Linked DNA regions of Caenorhabditis elegans. The protein of the gene in region 1 purifies or fractionates together with the protein of each later gene. This does not show direct contact. Each region holds a gene or a part of one and is shown on either strand. Other genes may lie near its edges. The genes, in order: anmt-1, tmem-131 and ani-1.

The links.
Region 2: the proteins of anmt-1 (region 1) and tmem-131 fractionate together in Caenorhabditis elegans (co-fractionation; one large-scale study listed by BioGRID). This does not show direct contact.
Region 3: the proteins of anmt-1 (region 1) and ani-1 fractionate together in Caenorhabditis elegans (co-fractionation; one large-scale study listed by BioGRID). This does not show direct contact.

Annotation. Positions count from the first base shown.
Region 1 is NC_003281.10:8,682,346-8,687,733, reverse strand, and holds anmt-1 (Nicotinamide N-methyltransferase), read right to left. Parts: upstream 2,927-5,388; 5' UTR 2,926-2,926; coding exon 2,839-2,925; intron 2,623-2,838; coding exon 2,375-2,622; intron 2,333-2,374; coding exon 2,218-2,332; intron 1,899-2,217; coding exon 1,614-1,898; intron 1,495-1,613; coding exon 1,408-1,494; 3' UTR 1,326-1,407; downstream 1-1,325. Other genes in the region: hadb-1 (putative 3-ketoacyl-CoA thiolase), read left to right, coding at 1-251, 309-633, 701-1,090; fli-1 (Protein flightless-1 homolog), read left to right, coding at 4,041-4,100, 4,149-4,355, 4,410-4,726, 4,770-4,860, 4,909-5,345. UniProt on the Caenorhabditis elegans protein: Catalyzes the N-methylation of nicotinamide and other pyridines to form pyridinium ions. Involved in regulation of lifespan extension downstream of the sirtuin sir-2.1, probably through its role in nicotinic acid metabolism.
Region 2 is NC_003281.10:4,990,990-5,000,455, forward strand, and holds tmem-131 (Transmembrane protein 131 homolog), read right to left. Parts: upstream 7,173-9,466; 5' UTR 7,145-7,172; coding exon 7,049-7,144; intron 7,005-7,048; coding exon 6,715-7,004; intron 6,544-6,714; coding exon 6,423-6,543; intron 6,377-6,422; coding exon 6,131-6,376; intron 5,859-6,130; coding exon 5,076-5,858; intron 4,987-5,075; coding exon 4,741-4,986; intron 4,692-4,740; coding exon 4,314-4,691; intron 4,270-4,313; coding exon 3,521-4,269; intron 3,478-3,520; coding exon 3,227-3,477; intron 3,178-3,226; coding exon 2,988-3,177; intron 2,929-2,987; coding exon 2,740-2,928; intron 2,694-2,739; coding exon 1,343-2,693; intron 1,294-1,342; coding exon 1,144-1,293; intron 1,098-1,143; coding exon 800-1,097; intron 731-799; coding exon 573-730; 3' UTR 450-572; downstream 1-449. Other genes in the region: wdr-60 (WD Repeat protein), read left to right, coding at 1-42, 86-182, 233-406; Guanine nucleotide exchange protein smcr-8, read left to right, coding at 8,394-8,553, 8,599-8,913, 8,962-9,108, 9,151-9,263, 9,310-9,466. UniProt on the Caenorhabditis elegans protein: Collagen binding transmembrane protein involved in collagen secretion, probably by recruiting the ER-to-Golgi transport complex TRAPPIII. Required for normal development.
Region 3 is NC_003281.10:12,446,043-12,455,363, forward strand, and holds ani-1 (Anillin-like protein 1), read right to left. Parts: upstream 7,161-9,321; 5' UTR 7,143-7,160; coding exon 7,016-7,142; intron 6,951-7,015; coding exon 6,235-6,950; intron 4,827-6,234; coding exon 4,560-4,826; intron 4,496-4,559; coding exon 4,352-4,495; intron 3,715-4,351; coding exon 2,462-3,714; intron 2,403-2,461; coding exon 2,063-2,402; intron 1,317-2,062; coding exon 945-1,316; intron 894-944; coding exon 633-893; 3' UTR 311-632; downstream 1-310. Other genes in the region: Y49E10.18 (Fungal lipase-type domain-containing protein), read right to left, coding at 1-59; scav-3 (Sensory neuron membrane protein 2), read right to left, coding at 7,684-7,773, 7,827-8,022, 8,071-8,314, 8,394-8,775, 8,880-9,008, 9,305-9,321. UniProt on the Caenorhabditis elegans protein: Required for contractile events in embryos that occur prior to mitosis, such as cortical ruffling and pseudocleavage. Promotes membrane ruffling by organizing cortical patches of septins and myosin II. Not generally required for cytokinesis in mitotic cells.

The DNA.
Region 1 (5,388 bases):
AATGCAAATGCAATCATCGCCGGAGGAGTCGAATTGTTGTCTGATGTGCCAATTCGTTACAATCGAAACGCCAGAAAGGCTATGTTGGGAATGAATAAAGCAAAAGATGTTCCATCGAAGTTGAAGATTGGAGGACAAATTGTCAAAAATTTGCTTTCTCCTGAACTGCCAGCGGTCGCTGAGTTCTCAACTGGTGAGACAATGGGACACAGTGGAGACAGACTTGCTGCCGCGTTCAATGTTTCTAGAAGGTAATTTTCCTTAAATTTCTGGGAAATTAATTAATGTCTACTTATTTCTATTTTCAGAGAACAAGACGAATTCGCAATCCGCTCCCACACTCTTGCTTCGGAAGCAGCTAAGAATGGAAAATTCACTGATGTTGTTCCAGTATTCTTAGACGGAAAAAAGCCAAAGACAATCAAAGAGGACAACGGAATTCGTGTATCCACTCTTGAGAAGCTGTCATCTCTGAAACCAGCATTTGTGAAGCCACACGGAACTGTGACTGCTGCCAACGCATCTTACTTGACCGATGGTGCTTCTGCTGCTCTTATCATGACTGAGGAGTATGCTCTTGCCAACGGATACAAGCCAAAAGCCTACTTGAGAGACTATTTGTATGTTGCACAGGTAAGATTATAATAGTTTTGTTGTTTTTAGTAGCTTTCGAGCGTTTTTAATTTCCAATATATTTCAGGATCCAAAAGATCAGCTCCTGCTCTCTCCAGCCTACGTCATTCCAAAGCTTCTGGACAAGGCAGGACTCACTCTTAAGGATGTTGATGTATTTGAGATTCACGAAGCTTTTGCCGGACAAGTCCTTGCCAATTTGAACGCGATGGACAGTGATTACTTCTGCAAAGAGCAGATGAAACGATCTGGTAAATTCGGAAGAGTTCCAATGGACAAGCTCAACCTGTGGGGAGGATCTTTGTCAATCGGACATCCATTCGGAGCCACTGGTGTGAGACTTGCAACTCATTCAGCTCACAGACTGAAGGAAGAGAAGGGACAGTACGCTGTAATTGCAGCCTGTGCTGCTGGAGGTCACGGAGTTGGAATGCTCATTGAGGCTTATGGAAAGTAAACTCGAGGTTACTTTAAACCCACTTTTCTGTATGATAAATTAGTGATTGTCCCAACTATTTATTCTTCCCATTTCTGCCATTTTCCCGTATTTCTCTTTTTAAATGTTTATGTGTATAGATTGTAGCGGTTGTCGTGCCTTTTCGTCTCCTCGTAATTCTACTGGTCATTTCTGAACACTTTCTTTTTCCTTTTCGATATTCTGTCAAATATCACCATCATTGCCATCACCAAAAAGGAAGTGGTACTAACTTTACTGAATAGTTAAAAGTTTATAAAATATTTTTAAAAAAACACAACAAATTAAAAAATATTTAACTAAAGTTTCTTCGATACAAGTAAGAAAATGTCGTCATGTGTAATGAATTTATATCCTTGTTCGGCAGTTGTCGCCATACCATTTGCCTGAAATCATATGGTTGGGAGAATAATTTGGAACATTTTGAAATTTTTTGCTCTTGTTGGTGGATCTTTTTTTTCAAAGAATAATATTTTAAAACACTTTTTTCAAAAATACAATTTACCTTGAGACTTTCAATTATATGTGCTTGTTTCAGCCGATGACATCGAAATGTTTTTCCTCCAAAATTGTAGGTCGTTGCATCGAGAACACCACCTTGAATCAGAATACCACCTTCATCAATAAGGGAACACGCACTTCGTACCGCCCGGAAATATGCTTCAAGAGTTTCACATGAATACTCTAGACAGAAGACAGTTGATACAACTTGAAATTTGTCTGGAACTTGAACTTGCTCATTTTCTTTCCAGACAATTGATTGAACAACCGGAGATTCATGGACGTTCACCTGAAATTAAACATTTGATAACATGCAAAACTTTGACGCGAAAATTTGCGCTTTTTGGCATAAAATTAGCTACCCGGTCTCGACACGACAAATTTTCGATAGGTGGGAAAGGATGTGCGCCTTTAAGAGGTACTCTAGTTTCTAACCTATCGGACATTTTTTGTTTCGAGACCGGGAATTCCCGGGAACCGAGTTCACCGGATTGTTGCGAAAAAATGACAAAACAACTGAAATATCTACAGTAATCTTCCTCATCTTTATAAAGACCCACAAATTTAATTTTATATTAAAATCTATAAAACGATATTTCAAAACTTACATCTAAAACTGCTCTCATCAACTTTCTCGTCTTATTCTGCATTTGCTTTCCAGTTTCCATAGATGCTTCAATATTGGCAATCCATGAACACACATTGTCCCAATCAAAGTCAGATCTGAAATTGAACTTAATATATTAATTTCAGAAATTAACCTACTTGTCCTCAATCCAATTGATAAGTGTATCTCGATTAGCTGGTGCATAGTCAGAAGTATAAATATTTTCAGCACGATCCCGCAAAGAAATTGGAAGATATACAGTTGGACCTGCACCCAAATCCAGAACACTTCGAACTTTTTGAGGTAAACGATAAAGGATTCCAGGTAGAAAGAAGAGTACTATTTGCATTGCTGTATCTTCTGATGCTGTTTTATAGAAACTATTGAGATATGCTGTTGGGTTGAACTGAAATTTTGTATTTATTAACATCATGCTTTTTTTATTTTTGTTTTTTTTTTTGGTGTAGTAATAGTTTTGGCAACTGCCAAAATTTTGAAACATTTAGACAGGCACTTTCGACTGTAAACTAAAATTTTCAAAATAGTTTCAAAAGTATTACTACGATATCTAGTCATTTTTATCTTCTATGACATGTTCCAAAACTTTCTGATAAACACGAACTTTATCTTTATGCTCAATAGCTGCACATTCTTCATCCTTTGGCTTTTCATCTTCTCCAGTATTATCGTTTTCCGTTGTTCCGGTCATCTGAATACACACACATCATTTCCATATGAATAACAAGAGATAAAACAGAGAAAAAGAAGGACAAAGATGCGATTCAAAGATTCGAAAGGTTGCGACTTCAGTTGGTACTTCTCTGGCATTTCTTCCCTCCTCTGATATATCCGGTCCACCTTGCCCGTCAAATGCTCTCTAATATCTGCGTCTCTCTGGGTTCCCGTGCTATTTTTCATGGATCTGTAGTGTAACACTCATCGGGCGAGTTGTCTGTGTCTCTATTCCGATCACTCTCTCTCTACAGCTTCTCCTTTCTGTTCGTGTGAGGCTCCCGGGCCGGGGTGCTCGTCCCGTTTCTTTATGTTTCTCCGTTTCGGATCACCTTGTTAATTGTTCGTCTCCCAGTTCCACTTCTTGCTCTTTTTGGGTTTATTCGTTATACGAATTTTCAAAGTTTCACAGAACAACCTTTAAATTTTTTAAACTTTAACAGTTGCACATAACCATTTTAAAATCTCGACTTCAATTCCTAGAAAAATCCTTAAAATATATTGGTTCTTGATCCTAATGTACAGTAGCTACTACTGTAGCTAAACAGTAATAAAATTGCGAAAATTGTTACCAATTTGATATGTTTTCCTATTTCACTTCATTTCCAAAAGTCAGCAGTTATCACTTACTTTTATTTCGAAATATTTTTTTATAAAAAAGATTTTTGATGAGAAAACCAGCACGGAAATGCAAAATAAAGTCAGGTGACAAAATGTTGTAAACACAAATGATGCCCAATAATTATGAAATAGGAGGTATTCTTTTTATATTTGACACACTTCTGATATCACTTCCTTTTCGTGCTCAAAACCAATTTTAATGAAGAAAAAATGTGGTAAAATCTCATAAATCTTGCATTCTAGACTTGAAATTTTCACTTCTCTTTTCGAACGGTTATTTTTGCCACGCGCAAATCCTAGGCCACGGCCTTCCGGTTTCTAGGCCACCACCGCCATTTTGAGTTTTTTCAATTACAAATTTAACAATTTCCACAGTTTTCTTTGAAATTTATTCATTTAATTGCTTTAAATCTATATTTATATATTAATTTTAGTGTTTAGTGAAATAAAATGCAATAGATCGCTACAAATATGTCAACAGGAGTGTTACAATTCGTCAAAGGAATCGATTTCTCGGGAAATGACTTTTCGGTGAGTTTTTCTTAGTTTTAGACACAATTTTTATACGTTTTTTTTCAGGGAGATCGATTTCCTCACGATGTGGAACAAATGACGCAAATGACATGGTTGAAATTGAACGATTCGAAGCTCGAACAGGTGCCTGATGAGCTGTCGCGTTGTGCGAATCTGGAACATCTGCAAATGGCTCACAATCAACTTATTTCTGTACATGGAGAGCTTTCTGATTTACCGCGACTACGATCAGTGATTGTCAGGGATAATAACGTAAGAATTTTTGTTTTCTAATTTAGTTAAAATAAAATAAAACGAGATTTTCAGCTAAAAACCGCCGGAATTCCAACGGACATTTTCCGCATGAAAGATCTTACAATTATCGATTTATCGCGAAATCAATTGAGAGAAGTTCCAACAAATTTGGAGTATGCAAAAGGATCAATCGTTCTGAATTTGAGCTATAATAATATTGAAACTATTCCGAACAGCGTTTGTGCCAATCTTATCGACTTATTGTTCCTGGATCTTTCGAACAACAAATTGGACATGCTTCCACCACAGATTCGTCGATTAAGCATGCTTCAAAGTTTGAAACTTTCAAATAATCCACTTAATCATTTCCAATTGAAACAATTACCAAGGTTACTGAAAAAAAACAGAAATTCAAAACAAAGAGTCTTTCAGCATGACATCCCTAAGCGTTCTTCACATGAGTAATACCAATCGAACGCTGGATAATATTCCTCCAACTCTGGATGATATGCATAATTTAAGAGTGAGTTTCAGAGTTTTCAGCTTACAATTTAAAGTTTTACGTTTCCAGGATGTTGATTTTTCTGAAAACAATCTTCCCATTGTCCCGGAAGCTCTCTTCAAACTGCGAAATCTTCGAAAATTGAATCTAAGTGGAAATAAAATCGAAAAATTGAATATGACTGAAGGAGAATGGGAGAATTTGGAAACATTAAACATGAGCCATAATCAATTGACAGTTCTTCCGGATTGTGTTGTCAAATTGACAAGACTCACCAAATTATACGCAGCAAATAACCAATTGACATTCGAAGGAATACCATCTGGAATAGGAAAACTCATTCAACTTACCGTACTTCATTTGTCATATAACAAGCTGGAATTAGTTCCAGAAGGAATCTCGCGATGTGTTAAGCTTCAGAAATTGAAATTAGATCATAATCGATTGATTACACTGCCAGAGGGAATACATTTGTTGCCTGATTTGAAAGTTTTGGATTTACATGAGTAAGTTTGAAATTTAAAAGTATTAAGATATTGAAAAAAAAGT
Region 2 (9,466 bases), 3.7 Mb from region 1:
TGATCTATCGACACGTGTCACATGGATATCATGGAGTCTTACGTGGGTTACGGTAACTGCTCTGCTTTTATTCAAATATTTACAGTAATCCATCTGGCTTTTATACGATTCACAACTCAAATATCATAACATACTGGGATTTGGGATTTAAGTTATCTCCAAAGAGTGTAGATCATCGGACGGTAAGGAATTCCTTTATTTTGGTTAAAAATTAAATTTTCATCTGTTTCAGGATTCTGTTCAAGTACTTGCATCTGACACGTGGCTTTCGGAAAACGCTAAAATTGGTTATATGGCTTTTGGATTAAGCAATGGAGATTCCGAGGTTCATGTTCTAGAAGATCCCGCGCGGAAGAATCAAAACGAAACCATTTTGGAGGTTTTGAGAAGAATTAAAAATTTGTGAATGATCTTTTTTGGATATTGAAAATTTGAAATAAAACCGTATTGTTGTTCAAAAAACTTTCATTTGAAGACGTGCTCTTTTCTTCAGTCTTTTTCAGCACACACATATAGATTTGGATAGCAGATAAGTAGATATAATATGGGAAATCTGTTTGAGAATGAGATTATTAGTTATTCTTTTCATCATTCTCGTTGTCCGTATCTTGTGGCATTTGAGAAGTTGATGGTTGTTGTGTTGGGGGATGGAAGAGTGAACTTGACGACCATAAATTGAATTCTGGACCACTGAACATTGTGAACATTGGGCCTGTTGCAGATGATTCGGCTAAAAAATGATTTTGTGTTTAAAATTGTTTAATTAACATAGAAATTAAGAGGAAAAACTGAAACTCACTTGAAGCCAGATTGATTCCTAAATGTGAAAGTGACAATGGATCATCCTCTAGTTCAGAAAGTGGATTTGACACCGTATTTGTGCCCCATGGATCCGAATTTGAATTGTCTCCCCAAATAGATGTTGCTGGAGGTGCAGGCTGAATTGAGTTCTGAGACATTTGCATTCTATTCGGATTTCCGGGTGTCCTTGTAAAGTCGTAATTCGGATTTAATGCCGAAGATGATGATTGATTATTTTTCTTTTCACTTCCTATTGTCAGTCGACGACTTCCCATTTTTTGAGGTGAGTTTTCAAGCTAAAAATTAAATAATTATTTATGTTTTTGTCTTTTGTGAACCTGCCTTTCTTGAAAGAGTTGATGAAGCTTGACTTGGACTTCTCTGTCTTTTCATTTGCTGATTGAAATTATCAATATCATCATCTTTGAATATATCCTTAGATGCGGCAGACATCGATGAGAAATCCATTTCTGCATCATCGACATTGACATCCTGTAATATTTCTTAATAAGTAAAGATATTCAATTCTAATTTTAATTACCTCATCAATCCAATCTGGTGCAGCTTCACCTCCAATACTTTCTTCGTCTCCTCCTAAATGTCCGCTAGTTCCCCAGGTCATTCCAATATCCGAAGGTGTTGTAACTGTAGTTCCTTCCGAATCATTAGTTATTGGAGCAACTCCAGAAGCTTGTCGAATAAGATCTTCCATCTGTTCCGCACTCAACGGCCCTCCATAATTCCACAGATTCATAAACGGCATTGCAGCTTGAGCCGCTGGTGTATCCCACATTCCTGCGTCCATTGGCATGCCCATTGATGACAAGAATTGACGATAGAAGAGATCAGGTGAAGTTAAAGAAGTTGGTGGGACGTGAACAAAGTCGTCTGTTGGAGCTGACGTCGGAGCAATTGGAGCTGGAGAGCTAGCGGGATGCTGAGCTCGATTAGACTGGGATGGTGTTTTGCTTGGCGTTCTTGCTTTCGAAGGAGTTGGCTGCTTTGGCCGTTCAACTGGTATTGCATTGGGCTTCTTCTGTTCAGATGGCTTGATGGGTTTCTCTGGTTCTGTTGGCGGAGGAATTGAAGTTTTCGGAGTAACGGGAGTCTTTGTGACTGGTGGTACCTGCACATGTTTCTTTCGCTGATTGTTTCCTTTTGGTTTTGGTGATGGTCCCGGAGTGGTTTTCTTCGCTGGTTCCATTTTATTTTGAACCGGCGGGCTTTGAACAACTGGTTGTACAATAATAGGTGCTTCCAAATTATTATTTTCTTTCTGTTGCGCAGCTCGTTTCTTCTTTCTTTGACTTTTCGACATTGGTGGCTCAGGGTCTGTCACAACCGAAGATTGAGCCCCAGAATCCTTTCTCTGTGCCCACATCTCTGCAAGCTCTTCTTCTTCAACTTCATCAAATTCTGGAGCAAGTTCTCCAGAGTTTTGTTGTCGCTTCTGCTGCCCAACATATTCAAGCATTTGACGGAACTCTTCAACCTTCTGCATTGTCACTGGATTCTTCTTTTTCGTTACTTTTGCCGATTTTGATTGTTTATCATCCGCTTTTTCTCTCCTCCAGAACAAAGACCATTTCCAGAATAAATGAACGCATTTCACAATGAAGTTGGCCAAACCGATAAGTAATCGAGAAATGAGCCAAGCATCGGATGAAGCTCGAAGCGTTGAAGGTCTAGTCGCCGGGGTTGGCTTCTTTATAGAACTTTCGGGCTTAGCTGTAGAAGGTACTGTAGGAACAGGTGTAGTTGTAGAATTGTTCTTATTCAAATTGTTGAGATCAAATACGTGGCGAGGAATGGCAAATTGTTGTCTGATGGCAACGGCAATAGCACGATCACCTTCCAGATAGGCGCATGCAAGAACACAAACAAGACAGAATCTGAAAATAATTATTTTAGTTTTCATAAAGTTTTGTTTAAACTTACATCAGTGCTGTTACACAGCTATAATACATGATATTCTCAAAAGGTGGTCGAGGGAGTGCCTGATGACATTTGGCAAGCATATCACCGGGTACTGTAGATGCCAATGGGAATATCCAAGCACTACCGTTCATGTGCATATAAAGTTGTAAATCTGCTTCATTGGTTGTTGTAAGGAAGTCTGGTGTGTAACTGAAATTTAAAAAAAATACAATTTATGTTTATTTTGTAATTATATTTTTCTAACTCACGCAATATCTAAAGCATATGTCTCATTTGGTTGTAGACGGAACGGGTAACAATTGAGAATTCGAAAACCTCGATTCTCGCAAGGAACACCGTTAATACTCATATTGGTTACGGTAAATTGAACTTCTCCACTATTCATCACTTGGAACGGGCGGCGAACAGTCAGAGTTGAGTGCAATTTGTGCATTAATCCTGTAAAATTTTGCATTTATATTTTTCAATGAAATTTCGAATCACATACTTTTAGGGTTATTGCAATCTGTCAAATGATCGTGCCGAATTTCGAATAATAACGGCTTTTTGGATCGAGCTTCGGCTCCTTCAACTTTAACTCCAATTCGAGCACCTTTTCCATACATTACAACTGGCTCAATCGCTGTCAAATTGTTACGAATCAAGAGAAGAGATGATCGGAGTGTGTAGTCTGATGGCAGGAAACCAAGGCGAAGTCGAATTTTCATATGTGGTTTTAGGATCATTGATAACGTGAACCTGAAATTAATTGATAAATTGAATTAATTTTAAAACAACTAACCTAGGAATATTAATTTCATTATTATATCTTGGCATCTCATGATTTAAATGATATTCAAATGCTTCTCTGAGCTTCGGAACAGGTGAATCTGACTTCAAAGTGAACAATTCAGTGTCTCGCAACGAAAACATCAATGTTTCGTTCATTTCAACATGATCTGTCAGTTCGGATACCAAATTTGGACGCATCAGTTCGACGAGAGACTCTGCATCCGGGTAGATAACCAATGGAATTACTTGAATTGCAACTGGCACATTTGTTGGATTGGCTAGTGTTAGATTCACGATGGTGAAGTTTCCAAGAGCTGTTAGAGGGAAATGAATGGAATTTCTTGTGAGAAGTCGTGGCCACACCAATTCAGCAGATGTTTTGATCTTGATATTCTTTGCTTTATCAGTATCCAAAATTATTGTAGTGTTGATATGATGTTTTCCACTATTCACCAATGCATCATATTTCTTTCTCAACTGTTTGTACAGATAAGAATCAATTTCTGGCAAATTAGATGGTAGTGTGAGACCATGCGTAAACCACGCTCCATCGGAACTTCCTAATGGGAGACCCAGATAACAGTAATCATGTTCACATGGAGCTGATGGAGAGAACATGACACGTCCAAGATTAGTGAGTCGTCCTGAACGAAGCACAGGTGGATTCTTGGGATCGAATCCTTCGAAAAAGAATCGTGGATCTTCATTGAGAGTTGTCAGACGGGTTACGGTCATATCTTCGTCGAATGAGTTGAATACCTAAACAATTTCAGAAATTGAAGCAACTATTAGGATCTTCCTACCTGTAGTGTTCGATAAACCAATTTCGACGGGAACGTCTGTCCGAAGCATATTTCTTCCGGTATCGACTGTAGTGATCCAGTTGATACTTGATAAGTAACTCCAAATATTTTACTCTCTAAATCAGTTTCGAAAATGATATTTCCGTTTCGAACAACTCCATCCGATGGAACTTTCAGCTCCAAATCAAAGATTTTTCCTTTCATTGGTGGAATATCAACATCGGTGGCTTCAACGTATTCAAGACGTTCATCATTTCGAACATCAGAAAAGTTTCCGATCGACTTGACACCAACTTCGTAGAGTCGGTAAGCCGAACGATGTGGTACAGCAAGATTTTTGAGACGCATCTCAGCTCGATTGTGATTCCAAACCACGAACTGAAATTATAAATTGAAATGTTATAACTTTATTTTAATTTTTTCTTACTCGAATTGTCCTTGTGTCATTCCTTTCAACAAAACCGAAATCAAATGAATTTTTATCCACAGATATCAACTCAACGTTCATTCTTCCTGTATAGGTTGATAGGCTTAAATTAAAAGTGGAAACATTTGTGTGTAGATAAATTGTAGAGTTATCGAATGTTGGTGGTAGTTTCTTATTGTATTTCAGAACAAAGACTGGTGAAATGTGGCCGGAACGGATGAGGGCAGTGCGATCAATGAGTCGAACCTGAAAGAAGAGAAAATAATAACTAGGATAATTCAGTTTTGAGAATTTGAACTTTAAAAATTTCCCAAAAAAAAATTATGAGAACTTACAGAAAAGTGGGAGACCAATTCTGGAGCCAATGTAATATTGAAAATAGCCACATCGAATGGCAACTGATTTTCAATTCGAATAATTCTTTGATGAGGTGGTCTCAAATCTTCTTGAATCGATAAATCATTTCCAATCGGGAGAAGGTCTCCACGAAATACATCGGCTCGATACGGAATGCTAACATTATAGTTTCCACCTCTAGAAACTGCAATAATGTGCCCACTAATATGTTTCATCTGTTGTTGAGGTGACATTTGTACTCGATTTCCTTCTAGATATACTTTTACAAGATCTGCTTTTGGTCCCAATGTGACGCTTCCCTTTGTTGGTGGATATACTATAATTGGTGGATGTGAAGCAAATTCCATATAAATTGCTGTATGATCTCCTTTCTCTACGTATAGAGTCTCGAATTCCAACCTTCCTCCAATTTGATATTGAACCACAGAAAATACTTTGGCCTCTGATTTCATCCCTTGTCGAATAAGTCCAAAATCCAAAATTTCATCTGTTGCATACACTCCGCGACGTTTCAGAACTTCAATTGGTACGGTTAAATAGATATCCGTATTCGGTTTGCGATGCTCAGAGCTCAAATAAATTTCAGATCCAATTCGAACAAATACTGTCGAATTTTCAGAAGTTGCTCCAACTAGGACCAGCGTAGCGATTTGTTTGGATTGATATGGACGAATATCCCAATATTGTAGTGGTTCTTCAGCCAATTTACTGTCAACTTCATGAGGAAGTTCTATGTGAGCATTTCCTCCAGATGTTCCGATCTATAAATTTTGTTAAATTAAACTAATTTAGAAGTAAATAATTATTAAATTCAATTATATAGGCGAAATAATTGAAGATTTTCGAAAATTGGTCATTTGAAAGTTTTGAAATGTTACAAAAATGAAAATGTATCTATTTTTCTCACAAAAACTAGTATTTTTTCGATTCAAAACTATTTTAAATACAAAATTTTTTTTTTATATTTATTTAAACAACGTCCTTTGAATGTATTTTTATCATCTCCGTGAAATTTTTCATTTAAAAAACAAACCTCGGTAATTCTCATTGTATACGCGTACGGATTGAAAATAACAATTGGCTTTGAAATAGATGAATTCATCGGAAGACGATAACCAGTAAATGGTGATATACGATATGGATTTGAATCACAATTTCCCTGCATTTTGTATGTGAATACTCCAACAGAAGTGTAAAAATGAACAATTGTCGATCGTTTTCCAATTTCTCGTGGTAGGAAGACCACTTCCAATGATGTAACACCATGTGGCTCAAGCTTCTGAAATTATCAAGAAATAATTGATTTTTGAGTAGAGAAAACTCACATATTGCTCAAAATATGAAGCTTGAAATTCAATAGAGTTGACAACAACTGCATCGAGGAATATCTGTTCATTTCTCATATTTCGAATGTAGATTTTGCGTTTCTGCGCGGTACCGACAGAACTGAAAAAAAATGCATACTTGGAAGGTTTTTTAAATTAATCAAAATTTTTGTTATCATACTTAAAATGGCCCCAAAATGTCGAATTTCATAACGAGACATTCCAAAAATTGCATTTTTTCAAAGTCTCGTTATGAAGTTCGATCTTTTGAGTATAATTAAAAATTATTCACTTTTGCCCAAAATCCATCATTGGTGGATCCATCTCCATTGGAAGTTTCCCTTTTCCAGACAATTTCAACACGTTGAATGTTTTCGTCGCATGGTTCTTGTTGGCTTCTTTCGGACAATTTCCTTCACAAACTCCTTTAATTGAATCATAAACTGGCAATTGATGCACATTTTCGGGTCGAATAGGATGATTGAGATAGTGAAGCTCTTCACCGATTTGAACAAATGCGGTATGAAGAACTGGAATCTCGTGAAGCTGGGATGCGGACACTTCTTCTGGAAGAGGCCATGCCTGAAATTGATTTTTTAATGTGAATTTCTGAGGCTAAACCATACCTGCTGATCTGCAAAAGTTGAAGTGATTAAAAGAGAAATTAGGAAGAAATATATCGTCCGATATCTGTTTGAAGTTTTGTGTATTGATGGAACCATTTGAGCATTTGGTAAATTGAGAGTTTCTCTGAAAAAACGAATAAATTTTTTTCTATAGGTTTTCTGAGTAAGATAATTAAAAAGCACAATAAAACGGAAATCAGTTTTTATTGCTTATTTTTTGCTTATTTGCTTATGCAACATGGATGATACGTGGAATTGAACGGCACTAAGAGATTTCTCCAGGGAAATAAAAAAGTGAGAGACAACGGCAAAGGCGACGTCGACTTCAATTGGGAAGGATAACTGGGAGAAGAGATAGTGTTTGATTTGGAGAGACCCAGTATTCGGCATCTTGGGAAGAAGAAGATACAGTCGTCGTGAGACGCAGAACAAATAGGATCGATCGATTTTTGAGGGAAAATAGAGATGTTGAACACGTCATCACACCATTATAAGAGAAAGAAGAACGAAGAAATCTGGTTTGGAAAAGTGAAGAGAGAAAAAAGAAAAAGGGCTTTTTTCGGTGAAAAATGAGTGGAATCAAGTGAATAAAACAAAGACAAAGTGATAACCATCTGTCATCTAGGTCAAGGCAGTCAGGAAAAAAGTCTATAGCTGTCAACCGCAGGCTAGTTTTATTACCTCGGGTATGAATATTAATGAAGCATTAAAATATTGAGCGCTTGGATTTACATAGAATTTAGAAAATCAGAAAACAGTCTTTATTTAGCAGAACAATTGTGGAAATTATGGACACATTTTTTTTGTAATCAGAAAATGATTTTCTTCGGCTATTGTTGTTAACAAACACGCGAAAAATAGAATATTTGACAGAGTATACTATAAATATCAAAAATATGTCTTAAATAATTCCGAATATGCAAATTTCTGCGCGAAAACGTTCAAAACTGACGATTAAAAACCAGAAAAACTACAGAAACAAATTACAGTTATTTCAGCCGTGTGGAGAATCCTCGGCCACGGCCACCAGAACAATATCTCCTGACTGCAGTGACTGGTTTTCCGATGTTTACACTGCTGGAAGTTACTTCATTGTTCTTTTGCAAACAATTTCGCTTGGAAAATATTGATTTAATTTAACTTGAACGTAAATTGACTTTTAAATTGATTAATGAGTAGTTTTATAGAGGGTTTTGGTTACTGTAGCTTTAAAGGCGCATGCTTGAAAAGTTTTAATGAAGGAAACTCTTCCATAATTTGCAAACATTTTCACTTTTGTTTTTTAAGCCGTTTTCTGCTGAATTCGTCTTTTTATTATGAAATTAAAATTGTATTAATTTCAGAAATGATTTCATTCGAGGATTTTCTCCTCCGACCATCCAAAGTCGTCGATCCATTCAACAGATTCGTCGCAAAAATTGATCCATTTCTGACTCTTGTCGAATTTTGCCAAGTTATCGGACCAAAACCACTAGCGGTAGTTTCTCAGCGGCCAGATGATAAAAGTAAATATTTATACACAATTTTCTCGAATAAATGCTAATTTTCAGTCCGCGGAGTTGACATAAACGATATGGCAATCTGGTTGATGTCGTCTGATACTGTTCCGGGTACAATGATTGTGTTGGAAAACAATCAAACGGGTGTATATGCGGCCGCATATTATTTTAATTTGTACGACATGAGAGCAAGAGCTTTTCAAAGAAATTTATGCATCGCCTATTTATGTTCGGAGAAGCCAACAAAAGAAACTTTGAACCTATTCTCATCAGCTATGAAAAAATTAGTTTCACCAGTTTTGATTTGCAATCGACGTCTGTTTATTCGCCATGTCACTGATATTGTCAAGTTTTCGGACAGTGTTGGTAAGTTTTTTTTCTTCGATTTTTTAAACAAATTGTTACCATTTTCAGATGAAACCACCCTGAAACAGTACTATACACTGAATGGAGATTCACAAAAGTTGTCAGACGGAAGCAGATTCAATGTAGTTTTCGAGCAAACCAGGCTTCTAAAAAGCAAATTTTTGACGAAAAGATTTCAAGAAATGGCTTTTGATGGTGAACAAAACGTTGAGACTTTGATTTAGAATTATATTTCAGATGACATTTGCTGTGGTCACAATGCAGAAAACATGAACGAAGCTGAAGATATTATTTGCTCATTCCGAGTTCCATCAATTCCATTGAGTCCTGTGGAAACTCTCACTCCATGTGTAAGATTTTAAAACCTTTGTTGCCTATAAAAATTAAATTATACAGGCGTATTCATCCATAATTCCAAAACTACGCCAACTATGCTCCGAACTATGTTCATCAGGAAGCCCTAATAGAAATTCTACTCATGGAGCTCTTTTCTGTGGACACCGTCCCATCGCAACTACATCACCAGCCGCCACTACAACTTTGCCTTGGAACA
Region 3 (9,321 bases), 3.8 Mb from region 1:
TCCACAAGCTGAGCGCCTAAAATCGTGAAGAATATCGAAAAATAGACTAGAAAATGCATCGATTCCTAAAGAAATAGGAAAACTGATAAGAAACCCGAATTTTATATAAATTCCGCTGGGCGGCGCACATGTGAAAGCTTATCAGTTGAAAGGAGCAAAAAATTGAGCACAGTTTAACATTTTTCGCAAAAAAAGTTGAACTTTTTATCTGTAATTACATGGCATATCTAGTTCGATTTAAAGTTATTTTTAACTTGAATATTTCCTTTTCTTTCCGTCTTCTTCATTCTATTCGGAACCACTGTTTTCTCACACTTTCACCAAATGTTTATTTTAACAAAAAAAAAACCGAAAATTAATTGTAAGAGTGTACGATGGTGAGGGGCACTGTGAAACTAAAATTTTCGAATAAATCGAAAAAGGCCCAAAAAGAGTGGAATAATGATAATGGGACAGTGATGTATTGATTAAAAAAGAAGGGAGTAAATTCTAGAAAAGAAGGAAGCTAAACATGGAGAGAGAGAGAGAAGTAACGAGAATAATAATAAAACATTTGATTATTTGTCAAAAAAAATCTGAGGGGAAAAACTGGGGGATACATACAGGCACAAAGCTTGCAAAAAAGGGGGGGACTACTGATTAACAATCGGATTTCTCCACGTGCACAACTGCTTCGACGTAGAATTGATCAGTGACAGCCATGTTTGAAGATCTTGAGCTGTATCGGCCGCCAGCATAACTCGAAGACGCTCAATGCCACGTGGATCCGATGTATCCATTTTTGGAGCCCAAACATCAATGTGGAAGCTATTCGGGAATGGGCAAATGTCTTCAACTACCGATGCACCTTCGGAACGGCAACACGTTGAAAGATCCATTAGTGCAGTGTAACCCTACAATAAAAAAAGTTTAATTTTAGACAAAAAAAATAAAAATTTAAAAACCTTAGTTCCCTCATCTTCTGGCTGCTTCCAAAACTTCATCTCTCCATTCTCAAGAGCACACCAGTATCTCGTCCACGATCCGAGCCCCTCGCCAGTTCTCTGATACATTGACAAGAATCCGTGATAAGTGATATCAGCTCCATCGATCGCCTGTTTGCGTACTTTCATCTGTGTAATACCTTCGAGCGGATATACAGTATGTGACATGTTGTACAAATGTTTTCCAGGGCAATTGATGTCGAACGAGAATGTTCCGAGCAAATTGAAGTTGGATGTGGTCGACGAAGTTGATGATGACGATGCTGCTGGATCGACGAATAGGCTCTGGTTTGCTGATGAAGTTGATCCGCCGCCCAGGAATGTGTTACGAGTCTAGAAATATTACTTATTTCCAGGTTCTATTGATATACACGTCTAATTAAAGGCGCACGGGTTTATTCAGAAGGGTCTCGGAGCGCATGATAACCTCATTTATTTTCCATTTTGCAATCAAATTGCTTGCGAGTATGTAGCGAAAAATTCGCTTAAAACAACGGCGCGCCGAGACCCATATGAATAAATCTGTGCGGCTTTAAGAACACGGCCCGAGAAGTGGTACCTGTACGCAATTTGTCTACCGTATACCTGGACGTTTGGGCGCGTGTATCTCAAAAACAGTTGTCCAGTTTTTTTGTGATGCATATAAAAAATGCCCGATATTAAATTCTACATTTTTTGGACCAAAGCTTTTTTCGTTATCACGCGCCCAAACCTGGTCTACACTCAAATTATCAGTAGAGCGCATTTGCATGGATGTACCACTTGCCGGAACGTGAAGAAGATGAAGTTATGATACATTATTAACAGAAAACAGAAGAACAAGACATTTGACAATAACAAACAAACAAACAAACAGACATACATCATGCAATCTTCTCCACAATCTACAGGGTAGGGGCACTCTCTTCTTCTCCTCACTTGCTAAGTTTTCAGCAGCTGTCATTCTCGATTCATGCTCACACTCATCAACAACATCATAACAACACCATTTGTCGATATTCTATAGCAGCAGACATTTCGAATTTTCAACGGACGAGTATGTAAAATATGACAAATATTTCGGAAAAAAACAAACAAACCTTCGCCTTAAACGTCGAATTCTTCAACTTGTACTTATCCTCGTGCGACGTCGATTCTCGCATCGATCGTTGTCCATAAATCTCGACAGTTGCTCGGAAATCCGGTGGAATCCCGGTCAACATCAGTGGTACGGGAAACTCGAGAACACCACGACGATTCAGACCACCGTCGCTTGTCACCATTTTCGACACGTCGACTTGCTCGCCGTAGCGGAGAATCGCCGCGAAATAGAAGACTTCATCGGATTTCTTGCTTGACGCAATATTAGCTGACACATAATCACGAGCCATGTTCACTGACAACTGGGATACTGTTATCGTTCCACGTGGTCCATCGATACTGGAAAAAAATTGAATATTTTTTTAGGTGAAAAAAAAATTCGGAAAAAAAAAACTAACATTCTCGGTCCATCTCGTTTCAATCGATCATACTCAGTGAGAAGTGCTCGATGCTTTTCCACATGACGAAGCATTGCCCATTGTGCTTCAAATTCCTCACGCGATCCACGGAAACTTGGCTTATCCCGGGCCAATATCATTGCTCTCTTGGATTGAGCAACAAGCTGCTCTTCAACTTGAATCGCTCGCTTGATACGATCGTGAGCATCCTTAGCCGACTCGACAATTCGTGCTCCATTCGCAGGCCCGGTGGTGAGCTGTCGAAGTTTCTGTTGTGATGTGAGCGATGATGACATCGGCGGAGCAGATGGACTGATTTGACTGATAACTGGCCCGGCCAGCACTGTCGACGATTCTTCGTTTCTGTCTCGTTGAATTTTTCGATAAAACGAAACAGAGTAGGCCAGTTGAGAACTTGATTTTCGTGATCTTTCAGGTACAGGAAATTGTGTTGTTGCATCGTCATCCTCTTCTTCTTCCGGCTCATAGGGTTCAGATTCATCCTCATTTTCAGTTTCTTCTTCAATAACCTCCGCCGGCGGCCTATTCTTTTCCAAACGTTGCAACGGAGGCTCGCGATATGGGCTCGGCGTTCCAGCCCCAGATCCTTCCATAAATCCAAATGCATTATCAATGAATTTAGAAGTATCCTCTTCTTCTTCCTGAAGAATTCCATCTTCTGATATCACGTCTCCTCCATCATTAAATTCTGGAGCTTCAAACACATCATCTTCTTCTTCTTGCTCATAACGAGTACTTTTCGATGCAGGAGAAGCCGTGTTACTCCGAGCACCTTGCGAGTAGAGCGACGAGGCGGATGGTCCTTTTCGCTCTGATCTGTGACCAAGCTGTTTCGGAATCGCACTCTCCTTCATCTTAATTGCCGTAGCAATCAACGAATCTTCGGTAGCATCAGGATGTATTGGCGTGCCAGTTGCCGACGAAAACTCCCATCTCGACTTCAAATTCTTCAGCTTTCCAACTCCGGCTCCAACTGGTGGCTCATTACCAGCAGTCTTCTCGTCGGCACGAGCTCCCTGCACAACTGGAGTATTCGATTGTCCTCTCCATTGAGTTTGAACTGGAATCGGTGCAGTCGCGACGATCCCCACTACGGGGAACAGGTGCTTCTTTTGTTGAGCAGCATGACGATGGTTTGGAGTCAAGTGGCTCTGCTGGGCTACTGTAGGTGCCAATGGAGCCACGTGGCGTGGCGTTGGAACTGGTGCTGATGTAGGTGCAGGAGGCGCTGTCTGGAAATGGAGAGAAATCCGGTTTGGCTTTTTGCATCCGCAACATTTTGAATTTCCACTGAAAATAGCAGATTTTTCAGAACTATCAAATTTTTAGCTTTAGAATTTTATTTTCTGCATTTTCCGAACAAACTTTTTCGTTAAACAGTGAAAATCGAATTTAAAATGACTAAAATGAACCTTTTTCGTCCACTGGCTGTGAAATGTTTTGAATTTGAAGAAATCAACGGGATTTTTCTTATTTTCTAAAAATTTTTCTATTGAAAATCGGTTTTAATACATTTTTAATAGAAAAATATCTAGAAAATAAGAAAAATCCCATTGATTTTTTCAAATTCAATCCATTTCACAACCAGTGGACGAAAAATGTTCAGTTTAGTCATTTTAAATTCGATTTTCACTGTTTAACGAAAAAGTTTGTTCGGAAAATGCAGAAAATAAAATTTTTAAAGCTAAAAATTTGATGAATCTGAAAAATCTGCTATTTTCAGTGGAAATTCAAAATGTCACGGATGCAAAATCGCAACAATCGTGTTTTGCAGGGGGGATTTTTTCTAGTTTAATTAAATATTTTTTAATTTCCAATCAGTCGCAATAATCAGCTGCCAAGAGCATTTTCCACATCATATCTACTCACAACATTCGCGCTACTACTTTTCTTCAATTTCTCCTCAAACTGAAGCCGTCTCGTAGTCGCAATTGATCCTTCGACTGCGGCGGATTTCGATGGCGAGAAGATGCTCTCCGACAGAGTTTTCGGTGACGACGTGCTTTTTGGAGTCTGAAAGAGAGCAGTTAGTAGGTGAGGTGATAGAGGCGTGAAGCAAAAAACCAAAAAAACATACAAAATGCACAGGCGAGAACATGGATCTTCCGATATCTTTAGAAAACGGTTTTGGCGACGACGAGACAAGTGCATTGATGTTGTTGTTCGAGGTTTTAGTGAGCAAATACGAAGAAGTAAATGTATTAGTCGTGGTTTTTGTTGAAGCCGAGTCCTGTGGAGCATTCGATATTCCAGACGTTGTAGAGCCTGATGCACCGGAGATCGTAGTTAAAGTTGTCGTTGACGATGATGATGATGTCGCAGATGAAGCTTCTTTTGGCACCTTCTACACGACAAAAAAAAAACAAAAGGATTAGGCAACAAAGGATTTTCTCGAAAGCGTGCGAAATTATCACTAAAAAAGGCGTGCGGACTATGTATTTTGGAGTTATTATCGAAAAATGTTTCTCAAAATCTCATTTTTAAGGCTATGTCCCTTTAAGATTTGTGTAGATTTACGAGCTCGTGTACTATGCGTGGACAAACGTGAATTTATGTTCTTGCAGGATTTCACAATTTTTCGCTAAAAAGGGTGATTTTTCACTTTTCGTCCATTTTTCTGCATTTAAAACTGCCAGTCTACCTATTATATATTGTAATTTTACAAGACATGTCTTCCTAAAAACGCAAGGATTTATTCCGATGGGTCTCGTCGCGCTAAAAAGTTTATGATTAAATTGTTTTTTATTTTTCATTGAAATTACGTTGTTTTAAGCGATTTTTATCGACAAAATTCGCTATACGAAGCAATAAACTTTTGGCGCGCTGAGACCCATCTGAATACATCCATGCGCCTTTAAAGGTGGACTACGCTCAGTGGGGAAATTGCTTTAAAACACGCCTATGGTACCACAATGACCGAATATCATGATTAAAAAAATTCAAAAAAATTTTCTAAATTTTATATGATTTTTTGAAAATTGAAAAAATCTCAGTTTTTGCCTAATTCCTGTTTGAATTACCGCCAATTGGATTTGTTCGATGGAGCGCGCTTGCACGTTTTTAAATTCATTTATTTTATTTTTTGTTATTTTCCACCAATTTTTTAATGTTTTCGGTGTATTTTTGCTCGAATTTTAGAGAAAAAGTCAAGATAAATGCAAATTTTCGATTAAAAAGCAAACGTACAGGCGTAAATCAGTGAAATTAATTAATTCAGGTTCGAAATCGTTTAAAAGCGTTACTTTTCCATTTTTACGCTCGTAAGCGTGCTTTTTAATCGAAAATTTGCATTTGTCTTGACTTTTCCTTCAAATTTTCTGTAAAAATACACAGAAAACATGAAAAATCGGTGGAAAATAACAAAAAAAAATAAAATAAATAAATTTAAAAACGCGCAAGCGCGCTCCATCGAACAAATCCAATTGGCGGTAATTCAAATAGGAATTAGGCAAAAACTGAGATTTTTTCAATTTTCAAAAAATCATATAAAACCTAGAAAATTTTTTTATTATGATATTCGGTCATTGTGACCCCATAGGCGGGTTTAAAGCAATTTCCCCAATGAGCGTAATCCACCTTTAAGAAGGCAAGTCAAAATCTTGAGAAAATACGACAATATTAGGTAGATTGGCAATTTTGAATGAGAAAAATTAACGAAAAACCGTGAAATCCTGCACGAAAATAAATTCGCGATTGTCCACGCACAGTACACGAGCTCGTTAAAGGGACATTGACTTTTCCCAACATTCTACCTTTCTCATAAATGTGTGCGGTCCATATTCTTCGTTTGAAACTTGCTGTCTTTCTCTCAAAATCGCCTCTCGATTATCACACGATTGTGCGTTGATAATCGTATTTTCGTGTGTTATATGCTGATTCATCGACAGCTCTCCACAGCTCAGCGACGACGTGGTGACGTTCATCATTTCGGCAGAGCCTCCGAGCACAGTGCTCTGATCGTTTACAGATGATCCGGATCCTCCGGAGAAAATCGACGATTCGTTGGGCAGATAGTTCACATTCACAATTGGCTGGGCGAATTTGATGCGGCGAGCTTCGAAATCCGACATTCCGAGAGCGATTTCGGGAGCACTTTTCGACGATACCGCTACATTTGGGCTTTTCATGGCTTGTGCTCCAGCCGGAGTACACAGGACTGCTGGACGTGTCTCTCCGATCGACATTCGTGGAGATCTTCCCTTCATATATGCTTCTTTCGGCTTATTGTACTGTGATTGGTAGTCATATTCGTATTCATCGATTTCTTGAGCCAACATTGAGAATCTCGACGTCTTTTTGGAGCTTGACTCGTTGACTGTGGCATCTTTGAACGAATTTAATGAATTTTCAGCGTTTTCCTTCATATTTGGAGTTGTCTCCTTTGGCTCTTGAGGGTGAAAATGCACTGGAGTTGACGGGCCGTCGTTGCATTTTGAGGAGCTTCCGAAGACTTTTGTTGGAGATGCAACTGAAAATCAAACATATTAATTAATATATTTATATTTCTGTATTCTTAAAAACCCCAAAATATACCTTCTTGCTTCACAGATGTAATTTTTGAGGTCACTGGCCCATTCTCCTTTGCCACCTCTCCTTCGCCTGACATTTCGGCTTGCCGAACTCGTATGCGTTCCATTAGAGAATCGAATTGATCCCCCATTGTATTTACAGTGTAGTTCTGCAAGAAAACAATGTTTCCAAGAAAATCTCATCAAAACTTGCGAACAGTTTCAACGAATTCGTAAAACGACGCACTTTTCGCAGCTTTTCTTGTAGAAAATAATTAAAATTGACTAATACGCGTTTATATCGGGCAAAATTCGTGGAAAACGTGTCAAAAAACAGGAAAAATGTGAAAATTCACGTCAAAAAATCGAAAAACGTTTAAAATCGAGTTGCAAAATTTGAATACATTGTTTTGGCGGCAACCAGGTCTCGACGCGTGGTGGGACCCACGCGTGAAAAAAAACGCGCCTTTAATCCCGCGCATCTGCGTCTCTTCTTTTCGCGTGCTCTCTCTCTCTCTCCCTCTCGCGGGATTTCGTCAAAATAAAAAAAAATTTCGAAAAAAATCATTTATTCAATTAATATTTACAAGAAAAAGTGCCATATTAAGTCGTGTGAGCACCAGAATTATTGCAACCTGCATCAAAAATTCGAAATTATCACAATATGATTAAAAATGATTTAAATTTTTAAATTTATGCCAAAACTGCGTTCTCGTCTTGCGCAGGCTCTTCGTCCTCATCCTCCAGCACAAGACGTCCGTACTCTTCTTCGTCGGATTGTCGCTGTAAATTAGAGGAAATTGAATTTTGCAGAAAACCAACAATAATATAATTACCGAATAAACAATGATTACAACAAAAACGGCAAGCCAGGCGATAAGACCAAGTGACAAGCTGATAACACCTCCAATAAATGAATAATGTTTTGCGTTGAAAATATTAATCAGCTGATCACGAGTTCCTTGATCGAAATACGCAGTTTCGTTCATCCAAAGGACTGGAACAACGACGTTTGTCGTGTTTTCGGTGACACTGAAAAATCGATAATTATTAGAGATTTCAATTTCGTAATAGGTAAACCTCAAGGATCCCTTGACCATTCCCACATTAATCTGCATAATTCTTTTCGCTTGAGTTGGAACGCCGGCAGTTGGCTCAATATCTACAACAGTCAGGTCATTTGAAGCAGTTGGCACCGAGAGCCCAGTGACGGAATGCCACAGCTCCATTGGTGAGTTGTAGAAGTGTGGATTGGATAGATAGACACGTGGATTGCCGGCTTGGCATCGTGACAAGTCGATAAGACCGGCAGGGAGGCAGTTTTCTGGAAAAATTAATATTAAAATTTAAATTTAAATTTACAATCGAATTTTTTAAAATAAAACTCTCTCTCTCTCTCTCACCAATTTGCACAGTAGTATTATCAAAATATCGCGGCATTCCATTCTTATTACAAAATGCTCGATTCTGCGGAAGAGCAGGATCGTAAAGATCCAAAGGTGGTGCATATCTCCACGAAGGAACCCCATTCACAGCGACATCTTTTGTGTATTCCATTTGAATTGATCTACATATTTGCGGCACAAATATCGTCAATCTGTCTTCTCGTTTCAGCATCGGACTGAACAATTGTCCATCGGTTCCGTTAATCATTCGTGCGTATTTAGTATCCCATGTTCCTTCGGGCATTTCTGTCATATTATTCCACGTGTATAAATGACCGATTTTCGATGGAGATGGCACGCCAGCATCCACTTCGTATATTCCGTCTGTTGTTCCATTTTGCTGAAGAAAAATCAATATTTTGGAAGGAAAACCGTGCGGCATGGTTGCGCAAAATTTGGCTCCGCCTATTTTTCTGTGCGGCACCTTGCAAACTCATATCTTACCCCATAAAAGAATCCAACTCTCCGCTGAAGAGAATTCGTTTCGCAGAGGAATTGAAGAATTTTATTTTTACAAACGATATCGATTATCGGGTCTTCGTATCCGTCGAATAGAGCATCGCTTACTTTTACCTAAAATTTCACTATTATATTACGGAGAGCACAAAATTCCGAGAATTGCGTATTGCACAACATATTTGACGCGCAAAATGTGAAATATCTCGTAGCGAAAACTACAGTAATTCTTTAAATGAGACTGCTGGAGAGTTGTCGATTTACGGGCTCGAATTGAAAAAAATTCGAGCCCGTAAATCGACACAAGCGCTACAGTAGCCATTCAACGAATTACTGTAGTTTTCGCTGCGAGATATTTCATATTTTGCGCGTCAAATATGCTGTCCAATACGCATTCTTAGAAAAAACTATACCGTAATATACGGAGCCT